3 linked regions of the Ovis aries genome follow. The protein of the gene in region 1 purifies or fractionates together with the protein of each later gene. This does not show direct contact. Links are inferred from orthologs where the notes say so. Each region holds a gene or a part of one and is shown on either strand. Other genes may lie near its edges. The genes, in order: ZNF219, CDK2AP1 and CHD3.

Region 1 (3,744 bases):
AAAAAGCAGAGACATTAGTTTGTCGACTAAGGTCCATCTAGTCAAGGCTATGGTTTTTCCAATGGTCATATATGAATGTGAGAGTTGGACTGTGAAGATAGCTGAGTGCCGAAGAACTGATGCTTTTGAACTGTGGTGTTGAAGACTCTTGAGAGTCCCTTGGACTGCAAGGAGATCCAACCAGTCCATCCTGAAGGAGATCAGCCCTGGGATTTCTTTGGAAGGACTGATGCTGAAGCTGAAACTTCAATACTTTGGCCACCTCATGCGACGAGTTGACTCACTGGAAAAGCCCCTGATGCTGGGAGGGATTGGGGGCAGGAGGAGAAGGGGACGACAGAGGATGAGATGGCTGGATGGCATCACCGACTCGATGGACATGAGTTTGGGTAAACTCCGGGAGTTGGTGATGGACAGGGAGGCCTGGCGTGCTGCGATTCATGGGGTCGAAGAGAGTCTGACACAACTGAGCAACTGAACTGAACTGAACTGACATGGTTGTATCTCATAATGGTGGTGGTCTATGGACTTGGGTACCTGAATAATTTACAAAGAGCAGAGCACCCTGCCAGAGAGTAAACCTTTGTGGGTTTAGGCCATTGAGATTTTGGCATTGTTACCACAGCACAACCTAGTCTAACCTGATACAAGGTTTATCTGCATGGTAACTGAACTTTTCCAAGAACTAAAATGCAATTCCTAGATATCTGATCATATCCTAAAACTTGTTGCTCCTATGTGGAAGACAGTTAAGAATGAATTGTTGACTTTTATTCCTAGCTTCTTCAGCTACCACCACCTTCTGATTTTGAGGAAAATTATTGTGAGTGCTTCACAGATGAGCTCTCCATTATTCTGTCATTTAGACTGGGGGAGTGAGGGAGATTTTGTTTCCTCATTCCACAGCCTAATCCCAGAACTGTCCCCACCCACTAATACTCACACAATCTTGTCATAGGGCAACTATTACCACTCCCAAGGTGTCACAAACAGCGGGCTCCACTGCAATGTCAGGGCAATGCAGCCAGGCTGCGCTCTTTCCTCACTGGTGCCTGGGCTTGGTTAAGTCTGGAGAAGCAGCCTTCTCAAGTGGGAACAAAAATGAGTGTGAGGCGCACACCCATCCCGGCACTATGTGAATTTGGGGTGAGTTTTCTTAGTATTGCAGCTCTGGTCAATTTCTAGTTTCTCTAGCGGCTAGCAAGCTGTCGGGTTGGTGCTACTGGGTGCCCTCGTTTTCCTGGGCTTTTCTCAAGCCCACCTGAACTTGCCATTTTTGCACAATTGCAAAGATCATAAACGGTGGGGGTTGCGCACAACCAGAGCTTCTGCAAGCGCGCCGCAGCTGCGATCAAAGGTCGGCAGGGCTGCCGAGAGGCTGAGCCTGCGCAGTATCGCTCCCGCCTTGGAAAGGGTGGTTGCAACGCGGGATCGTTACACCGGCTAGCTCACAAGAGGCGGGAAAACCTTAGCTTGGGTCGCCGTGTCCCTCCCTCTTCCTGCCCTGTCCACCCCGTCTGCCCAGCCAGTCCGTCCTCCTCAGGCGCCTAGGCCCCGGGGGAGGGGGATGAGCAGGGCCCTGGGCTTCTGACTCATCATCTCCAACCCCTTTCTCGCGCGCGCTCCAAGTCTCAGGACTTTGGACCTGGGCACTGTGGGAGGGGGCACGGAGACAGCATCTGGGAAACCCCAGCTCTGCCGAGGGGCAGCCCTCAACCCCAGCCGGTCTCCGAAGCTACCAGATGGAGGAATATAGAACCCCAGTCAGTTCTCAGTTACCGAGGTTGGAGTGGTGGCGCCCCCGTGTAAAACTGCCCTCCCGGCTCCTCCCTGCACGCGGGGCCAGTGGTCGCGTCCGAGGAAACGCTCGTCTAGGCCCAGATTTCCAGCGCCTCGCGTCACTCAGCAGATGCACAGCGCCCCCACCACAGAAGGAAAGGCTCTTTATTTCCCAGCAGGCCACGGGGCGGCGAGGCATCCTGGGATTTGTAGTTTCTGCTAGAGTAGAAAGGCACCAGATCGAAGTGAGAGAACGGAAGCACCAGTGGTGAATGGATCTCAGAGAGTGGGCGTGTACAGGAACCCGGGTTTGGAGTGAATGGGATTGTGAAAGGTGGAAATCTTGGAAACAGTGAGATGAGGCAGATGTGAAGCTGGGGAGGCAGTGGGTAAGAATGGAAGGGAGGAAATGGATCTAGCTGAAAGTTAGTTTAAGGATGTCTTATCTTGCAGGCAGTCAGATTCTCAGGGCTGTGAGGTGATGGCAGACTCACTCTAGGTGTTGCTTTCCCCAGCAGGGAAGGGTAAAGCAAGGGGCCTAGTCAGAGGGAAAATTGAAGGCACTCCACAAGACTTCATGTATGTGTCGGGGGACTCCATCTAGTTGGAGTTCAGGGGGATGCGGTGCAGGAGAGTCTGGAGAATGTTCCCATCGGATAGGAGGGCAGCACATGTCTGCTTCCACTTGCCAGCTCACTCATTTGTTCTCTTTGCTGTGCTAGCCACTGTGGGACCAGTCTCCAACTCAGGAACTTCCTCCAACTCTGAGAGGCCCTGAAAACCAGACAGTTGTGAGGTGAGCAAACATCAAGGGTGAGAAAGGAGGAATCCCAGAGAGATGCAGCTTCCTCCTCTCCCATTTTTTCCCTTATGTTCACATAGTCCTTCCAGTATTTAGTCACATTCCTAATGCTCTCCCACATTTCTAGCCCCAACCATTTAGATACTCAGTTTCCTGTTACTCATCACTAGGAGAAAGGGAAAGTGAAGTCGCTCAGTCGTGTTCGACTCTTTGTGGATCCCATGGACTGTAGCCTACCAGGCTCCTCAGTCCATGGAATTTTCCAGGCAAGAGTACTGGAGTGGGTTGCCATTTCCTTCTCCAGGAGATCTTCCCAACCCAAGGATCGAACCCAGGTCTCCCGCACTGCAGGCAAACGCTTTACCATCTGAGTCTCCTAGCCATCACTAGGAGAGACATGTCCAAAGCCAGAAAACTAATAAGTTTCAGTTTAACAACCCCTCCTGCCCCACCACATTATTCTCCCTTAAGTACCATTGACCAGAATAGCCAGTGAAAAAATAAGTTTCTAGCTCTCTGCTTCCTCCCAGCCCTCAATACCTCCTGTAGCTCCTGGTAGCGAAGACTCTGGCTTCTGCAGCATCTTGGCTTCCTCTGGCTCAGCAGGAACAGGGAGTATGCTGAGACCAGCACTCCCCCTAGGGTGAAGGCCTCAGCGCTGAGCTCCAGCACCAACAAGCCAGCTAGCTGTAGGTAGATGGGGCTGAGGGTGTGCTGCAGGGGACCCTGCACTTATCTGCCCTTGTCCTTTCCCCTCCTCTTGCCTCCACATCCTCCCACATTCTCCTTTATTCACTTGTACCTCGGAGGGGATGGTTCGGGCAGACATCAAGGCTGTCTTCATCACCTCAACCACCAATGCGATGAAGCCCGAGATCAGATTAAAGGTGTTGAATATCATCATGGCGCGCACCTGCCAGTGAGCCAGTTGAGTCCTGCCAGCCTAGGGGACTCATTGGAACCTCAAGCCCCACCTGTAGCCTAGCTGAAAACAAAACTCAGCTCCTATTCCTCCACCTCCAAACAAGACCATCAGCCCTTTAACTTTCTTATTTTACCCCCTCAGGGTTTTAGGCCAGTCATGGGCAGAGAGCTGACATAATTAGTCAACAGTTAGAAATTCACTTCCTAGACTGAGATGTGCATGTGTGTATGTGTTTCAG
Region 2 (3,644 bases), on another chromosome or scaffold:
GTGGCCTTGGCAGTTTTTCTAGTCCTGCTGACCCCCAGGTGTGGCGTCCATCTCAGCCATTCACCCTGGATCCCCAGCTCTCCTGGGATCACTTGCCTAGTCGTGGCTCCTTCCAGGAAATTCTCAATGATCACCTTTCTGTTGACTCTTTTTTCCTTATTTGAGATGATCAGAGGGCCTTCTGGAGACTGCTGGGCGGTGGCCTTGAGTTACAGAGACAATAGAGAGGGCCAGCTCCCTGGTCTGTAGTTGTTGCCCTGTGCCACTGGCATGCATTGGGGTCCTGACTGTGGCACTGGGGTCAGGTTGGGTGTAATCCTTCTGAACACTTTGCTTTCTGATTGCAGGGCACTGGGAACAGCCAGGTGCCCCAGAGCAAATATGCTGAGCTGCTGGCCATTATCGAAGAGCTGGGGAAGGAGATCAGACCCACCTATGCGGGCAGCAAGAGTGCGATGGAGAGACTAAAACGAGGTAAGTCATGGACCCTGGACTCCCCTGGTGGGTGATGCCTTTCTGCTGGCTGACCCCCGGCACTGGCTCTCGTCTTGAAAGATCTTTTGGGGAAAACGGAGGGTGGCAGACAGAAGCATCCCCTGTGGCACAGGGGCGCTCATTTTGTTTCAGAGTGACTGTTGAGGCAACATGAGCTAGACCCTCCTGGGGGATCTGAAGGGAAGAGGCTTGGCGGCCAATTGTCAGATGCGGCATCTGAGAAGGGAAGCCTTGGGACTTCCCTGGGCGGGGTGGGGTCCAGTGGTCAAAACTCCATGCTTTCACTGCAGAGGGGTGCAGGTTCGATTCCTGTCGGGGAACCAAGATCCCATAGGCTGCACAACCCCCCCAAAAAAGCCTTTGTGCCCAGATCCCGCAGCTCTGCCTCATGCCTGCTTCACTCCCACTGGCCGACTCTGGTCCTGGGAGCCCCAGGCAGCCCAGTACAGCGGGCCCCCCCTAGGGGGGAGACCTGGGGCCAAAGGGGCCTGCATTGCCCTGTGCTGTCCTCTCTGGAGCAGGGCCCCAAGGAGGGGTGTGGGGCAGAGGGTGAGAGCACTTTGAAGTTCTTTCGTGACTGAAGAGGGAGGGAGGGCGGAAGGCTGGTGTCACCGGGAGGAAGGGACTCACGTGAAGATGTGACTGGCCAGCTGACTTCAGAAGGCAGTGAAATAGGTTGGTTGCTGCTTCACGAAGTGAAAGGGGAGTGGAGAGGAGAGGAGAAAAGGATTTCTATTTTAGAAGGTAGCAGTTCAGAGCATGGTGGCTTATGTGCGAATTTAATTTTAGGAGGGTTTTTTCTTTTCTTTTTTTTTTTTTTAAGGTTAGAGAAGCAACTTTGGAGAAAAACGAGAGGGGAACATTCTGTGGCTGTAAATCTGGGGCGTGACGGCAGGGGGGCCACGGTGGTAATCAAGCCACGGCTCTAGTGATGGGCAAGGCTGGCTGAGGACAGGTGGTGACTACCTATGTGAAGAGACTGATTGCAAAGCCAGATCAGAGAATAACAGGCATTGGTGTAGGGAGGGGAGGCTGGCAGTAGGGGCTGGAAGAGGCCTTGGGGGAGAGAATGAGCTTGACCCCAGCCCAACCGCAGGGGTCATGGGGGCATCACTCAGCCCACAGTCCTGGTAAACTGAGTGCTGGTTACCTAACTGGGCATGCCTGAGGAAATGCTGAGCCCCAGAGTCTGTCTGAAGGGCTATCTGCAGCCACCCAGCAAAGCTGGCAGTTCAGATCAACACATGGATACACCTAGCAACTGGCGCAGGGCACATCCTGGGTGAGCACCTAGTCCCACAGTTGCCCTGACCAGTAGCTGAGAGAGCTTGCCAAGTTTACATCATAGCAAGGAAGGAGGGTCCTAGGGCATGGGGAATCAGGCACCAAGAATGCGATTTGTATTTTTATTACTCTATTTTTTGGCTGCACCACGCAGCACGCAGGGTCTTGGTTCCCCAAGCAGAGATGGAACCCACGTCCCCTGCAGTGGAAGTGTGGCGTCTTAACCACTGGACCACCAGGGAAGTTCCTATTTATGTTTTTTGTTTTGTTTTTTGGTGCCAAAACCTGAGACTGAACTATTTGTGGTTTTTAACGATGGAAAAAAACTCTGTGACATGTCAAAATTCTGCGAAATTCAAACTTCAGGGTTTAAGCAGAGACTTGTTGGAATGTGAAATGTCTTGGCTCTGTCATGGTATGATGGCAGAGTGCAGCAGCTGTGATGGTTGGCTGTACATACGCCCTTTGCTCAAAGTCTTCAGAAGCTCTGGGGATTAAGATTTGTGAGGTGGGGATACCTGAGTGATGTGGGGTGTCATTCCTAGGGCCCTCTCGGGGTCAGCTCTTAGGAGGAATAGATTCTTGGTGTCAATTAAAATGAAGTAAGTGTTTCATGAAGTTTAGTAAAGCCAAAACAAAAACAAAACCCAAACAAACGATAACTCCCAAACCATAGTGATAAAAGATGAGGGGAAAATCACATCGTAGATGGCACCAGTCCCTAGCAGAAAGGATGAAGCAGTGGACCAGGGTGGACTGAGTGAGCCTTCGTCTTGTGCCCAGATCTGGGCAGGCTATCTGACACTCCCAAGTCCTTTGTAGAATTTAGGAAAAATAATGGTTTGAAAGCTCCATAGTGGGCTTCCTAGGTGGCACTAGTGGTCAAAAATCTGTCTGCCAATGCAAGAGACAAAATGTGTGTTCGATCCCTGGGTTGGGACGATCCCCTGGAGGGAGGGTATGGCAACCCTCCAGTATTCTTGCCTGGAGAAACCCATGGACAGGAGCCTTAGAGGACTATACAGTCCATAGGGTTGCAAAGAATCGGACACAACTGAAGCGACTTGGCCTGCAATCTCTATCATGGGTCCTCACTTAAAGAACTTGGGTGGAGACACTTATTCCTGGCATCTGGATGGTAACATGGTTTGTGTAGCGAGTAATGTCAAGAAAAGAGCTTGCTGATTTGTCATCTTGAGTATGGGAAGAAATACTTTAAGGGAGATGTGACGAGGAGTGTTGGCTTTGAGGGATAGGATGGGGTTTGGGTCGTAGAACGCAGGTCCCACGTTCTCTCCAGTCTGAGGTTTCTGCAGCTGGTTGCGGAAGGACTGCTCTCCACTCCTGGAGTTGGTGCTGCCCTCTGACGCCCGTCTCTGCTTCTCTTCCAGGCATCATCCATGCCCGAGGATTGGTGCGGGAGTGCCTGGCTGAAACGGAGCGGAACGCCAGGTCCTAGCTGCCTTTTGAGCCTGGAAGGTTTTCCAGCTTCTTCCCAGAGGAGAAGTTACGGTTCACCTCCCTTGTTCAGATGAAACTCTTGTTTTCAAAATGGTTAACCAGTTCAGTTTCTCCTCCCCTGCCCCTCCCATGTTCACTTAGGCTCTGAATCTACAGTCTCTTTAAGATTGAGGAAAGATTTTGAAATTGATTAGGAGTTACATTTGAAATAGTTAGGAACTTCCCAGGTGTTTGTGGTTTTGTTTTCTTTTTTTAAAAGCGTTGATTCAAAAGATGCACGTAGAAGTTACCTCTCTTACAGCAAAGTAGTTTTGACTCTAAGATACCAGTGTCTGGTTTTCTTTTGAATACATTTATGTTAACCCAGATTGTTCTGTGTTCCTTTCCACAAGCTGATACAACTT
Region 3 (3,644 bases), on another chromosome or scaffold:
ATCAATTTGGAAGGCTGCCTTCTGAGTAGAGTAGGAGGGAGGCATAGAAAACTGGAGGAGAGGCTTAGAAAAGAGAAGTAATGGGAGGAGAAGCAAGTTGTAGGTAAGAGGTGAGGATAGCGTGCCGCGTCTGGAGGATTTATGTGTCTAGAGTGACGAGGTCTGGGGCTGGGCTGCAGAAGGAAAGCGGGTTCGTGGTGGTGGTGGGGCTGGGTAAAGGGGCAAGGTCTTCAGTGTGGGTCCTGCTGCCCTTCAGATTGAGGAAATTGAACGAGAGATCATCAAGCAGGAAGAGAACGTCGACCCCGACTACTGGGAGAAGCTGCTGCGGCACCACTATGAGCAACAGCAGGAAGACCTGGCGCGGAACCTCGGCAAGGGCAAGCGGGTCCGCAAGCAGGTCAACTACAATGACGCTGCTCAGGAGGACCAAGGTGAGGACTGTGCCCGACAGGGGAGAAGGGGAGCGTGCTGAGAAGGGGCTTGGAGGCTGGGGGCATTGAGAGGAAATGAGTGGCTGAGCAGTCAGGGCCTTCCCTTCTTAGGGGAAAGAGATTAAGACCCTAGGAGGGGTCACCAGGGGCTCCCTGGAGGCCAGGTGGATTTGAGGTGACTTGAACGCTCTTGCAGTCGCAGAGGGCATTGATGGACACCCAAGGGCCTTTGTTTAGAGTGGGTTATGCAGGTGTCAGGCAGTGGGGGTGAGTGGACCTGCTATGTAGCCCAGATTGTGGGCAGCCCTCCAGCATCTCTAGGAGGGCCAAAGCTGGAGTGAAGGTGCAAAAGTCTCTGAGGGGAGGTGTCCAAGCAGAAAGGGCCCCATGTGGGCTTATCCAGGGAGCCATCACTGACCACTGAGCCTTTCTCCTCACAGATAATCAGTCAGAATACTCAGTGGGATCAGAAGAGGAGGATGAAGACTTTGATGAGCGTCCTGAAGGTGGCATCTGTTTTCCTTTTTCCCACACCTCTTCCCATTTCACTTCCCATTGTCTTTGAAGCCTACTGTTTTTATAGAGTGCTCACTTGTAGGAAAAGTAAAGATTGCAGATAAGCAGAGAGGAGAAAATATCTATAATTTCGTTACTGCTAAAATTTGAAATATATTACCTTGTAGGCTTTGACACCTAGATGAGAGATCAAGAAAGGTTACATCATTTTACACTCCAGCAGTAATCTTGGCTTGCATCAAATAGTTGCTACTGATTGTTTAGAATGACTTGATTCTTTTGGACCTATGGGGTTGGTAGTTCTGGGAAGAAAATTAGAAGTGCCTCAGACATGACAGGCATTCCTTGTGTTGCATGTCCTATGGACATGGAGAGCTAGGAAAGACTGAGGGGTGGAGGACATGCTGGTCTACTAACGAGGGTCACCATCTCCCCACCAGGGCGTCGACAGTCAAAGAGGCAGCTTCGGAATGAAAAGGATAAGCCACTGCCTCCACTGCTGGCTCGAGTTGGGGGCAACATCGAGGTGAGAGCTGGCCTAGGCCCCAGCGGAGAGAATGAGGGGAGTTGAGGCTGAGTCACTGAGGGCAGAACAGACCAAGAAATGAGGCCCTGGACATTCATCATCCACTCCCTCCTTGCCCCCATCCTCAGGTACTGGGATTCAACACCCGTCAGCGGAAGGCCTTCCTCAATGCGGTGATGCGCTGGGGCATGCCCCCGCAGGACGCCTTCACCACCCAGTGGCTGGTGCGGGACCTCAGAGGCAAGACTGAGAAAGAGTTCAAGTGAGTGTGGGTGACCTGGGGCTGAGCTGGGGGGAAGGGCAGGAGCTTTGGGTGTTATTTTCTTCCTTTCGGCCGCCATATGATGTGACCTTACTCACCTGATCACCATGCTCCCTGCCAGATGTTGCCTGGCTCGGTTTCCTAGGGGGTGGGCTCAGCCTCTGCCACCTCCCCTCAGCTGAGCCTAGAGCAGAGAGGCCAGGCAATCCCTGCTGTGGGAGAGGCAAGTGAGACAGGAGCCTCTCCTGGACTGTCCTTGCCTCACATGCTTTGGCCACGATAACCCAGCAGGGGAGCTGGTGGGAAGGATGAAAAGCAGACTGATGGGGCCTAAGAGTGAAGGACCAGGGCCGGGGGCCATGGAAATGTGGGGGGGGGCAGGCGGGGGAGTTAGGATTTGGGGGAGCCCATGATGGTGAAATTGAAAGACCCAGAGACGAGCCCTGGAGGTACTGGGGAGCTCAGGTTCAGGGTTCAGTCATCCCTGTACCCCCTTCACTGTCCTTTCCCCTCCTAAGGTTCTCCTGACCCACCTCCCCCGCATGCTCCTTAGGGCCTATGTGTCTTTGTTCATGCGCCATCTCTGTGAGCCTGGGGCAGACGGCTCTGAAACCTTTGCTGACGGAGTCCCTCGGGAGGGGCTGAGTCGCCAGCAAGTGTTGACCCGCATTGGAGTCATGTCTCTCGTCAAGAAAAAGGTATTGGTCTTCCCCTCACCCAAAGAGTCAGGTCAGAGGGGCTGCCTAGGCCCCATGCGTCCTCAGCCTTCTATCCCTGGCTCCGGGAGCCAGACTGGAACTGATCCCTGTTCTGCAACCCCCTGCACCCTGTAGGTACAGGAGTTCGAGCACATCAATGGGCGCTGGTCTATGCCAGAGCTGATGCCTGACCCCAGTGCTGACTCCAAGCGCTCCTCCAGAGCCTCCTCTCCTACCAAAACATCTCCTACCACTCCTGAGGCCTCGGCTGCAAACAGCCCTTGCACCTCGAAACCTGGTAATCAGCTCAGGATGACAGGAGAGACCGACGGGGCCAGTTTCCATCAGATGCAGAGGGCGTGGAACTGGGGTGGGGAGTTCCTGCCTTCTTCACTCTGCCTTACCCCTGCAGCTACTCCAGCTCCCAGTGAGAAAGGAGATGGCATAAGGACACCTCTGGAGAAGGATGAAGCAGAAAACCAGGAGGAGAAGCCAGAAAAGAATAGCAGGATTGGGGAGAAGATGGAGACAGAGGTGTGTGGCTGCCTGGCTGCTTTGGAGGCAGTGGCAGTGCCTTGGAGGTGGGAGCCTAGAGCCCTCCAGGTCATCCTGACTCCACTGTCTTCTTCCAGGCTGATACCCCCAGCCCATCCCCATCCCTGGGAGAGCGGCTAGAGCCAAGGAAGATGCCTCTAGAGGATGAGGTGCCAGGGGTACCTGGAGAGATGGAGCCTGAACCTGGGTACCGGGGGGACAGAGAGAAGTCAGGTGGGTGCATGGCCTTAAGTGTGATTGGGGCTTAGAATTTGGGGGCTCCCTCTTCTGGGGTCAGGGGATGAGGGTGACATCCTTCCTTCCTGTCCCCTGCCCCCTCCCACAGCCACAGAGTCGACGCCAGGAGAGAGGGGGGAGGAGAAGCCGATGGATGGACAGGAACACAGGGAGAGGCCGGAGGGGGAGACAGGGGATTTGGGCAAGAGAGGTAATGGGTGGAAGAATGGGACCCCTGGGTCCTTGAGGGATCAGGGGAGGTGGAATCTGGGGAACCAAACGCCTGGGTGGGTAGCTCTTCAAGGGCCCGTACAGTACAGAGAGGAGTCCTGGGACCCGGGTGGAGACTGTCCCCCGAGATGTGAGCTCTGCCCCGTCTGCCACAGCAGAAGATGTGAAAGGGGAGCGGGAGCTTCGGTCTGGGCCTCCTCGAGATG

What was found.
Region 2: the proteins of ZNF219 (region 1) and CDK2AP1 purify together in Homo sapiens (affinity purification with mass spectrometry; 3 studies listed by BioGRID and IntAct, counting the BioPlex papers as one, with this or other methods). This does not show direct contact. The link is inferred for Ovis aries from reciprocal best matches to the Homo sapiens genes ZNF219 and CDK2AP1.
Region 3: the proteins of ZNF219 (region 1) and CHD3 purify together in Homo sapiens (affinity purification with mass spectrometry; 3 studies listed by BioGRID and IntAct, counting the BioPlex papers as one, with this or other methods). This does not show direct contact. The link is inferred for Ovis aries from reciprocal best matches to the Homo sapiens genes ZNF219 and CHD3.

What each region holds. Positions count from the first base shown.
Region 1 is NC_056060.1:24,325,778-24,329,521, forward strand, and holds the start of ZNF219 (zinc finger protein 219), read left to right. Parts: upstream 1-1,064; 5' UTR 1,065-1,146; intron 1,147-1,926; exon of another isoform or gene 1,927-2,472; coding exon of another isoform or gene 2,473-2,553; exon of another isoform or gene 2,554-2,575; intron 2,576-3,121; coding exon of another isoform or gene 3,122-3,268; intron 3,269-3,383; coding exon of another isoform or gene 3,384-3,494; intron 3,495-3,744. Other genes in the region: TMEM253 (transmembrane protein 253), read right to left, coding at 2,473-2,553, 3,122-3,268, 3,384-3,494. UniProt on the Homo sapiens protein: Transcriptional regulator. Recognizes and binds 2 copies of the core DNA sequence motif 5'-GGGGG-3'. Binds to the HMGN1 promoter and may repress HMGN1 expression. Regulates SNCA expression in primary cortical neurons.
Region 2 is NC_056070.1:52,354,421-52,358,064, forward strand, and holds part of CDK2AP1 (cyclin-dependent kinase 2-associated protein 1), read left to right. Parts: intron 1-347; coding exon 348-474; intron 475-3,170; coding exon 3,171-3,238; 3' UTR 3,239-3,644. UniProt on the Homo sapiens protein: Inhibitor of cyclin-dependent kinase CDK2. Also acts as a component of the histone deacetylase NuRD complex which participates in the remodeling of chromatin.
Region 3 is NC_056064.1:27,402,645-27,406,288, forward strand, and holds part of CHD3 (chromodomain-helicase-DNA-binding protein 3), read left to right. Parts: intron 1-256; coding exon 257-434; intron 435-874; coding exon 875-940; intron 941-1,390; coding exon 1,391-1,476; intron 1,477-1,604; coding exon 1,605-1,738; intron 1,739-1,867; exon of another isoform or gene 1,868-2,007; intron 2,008-2,291; coding exon 2,292-2,436; intron 2,437-2,571; coding exon 2,572-2,734; intron 2,735-2,848; coding exon 2,849-2,970; intron 2,971-3,068; coding exon 3,069-3,204; intron 3,205-3,316; coding exon 3,317-3,418; intron 3,419-3,593; coding exon 3,594-3,644.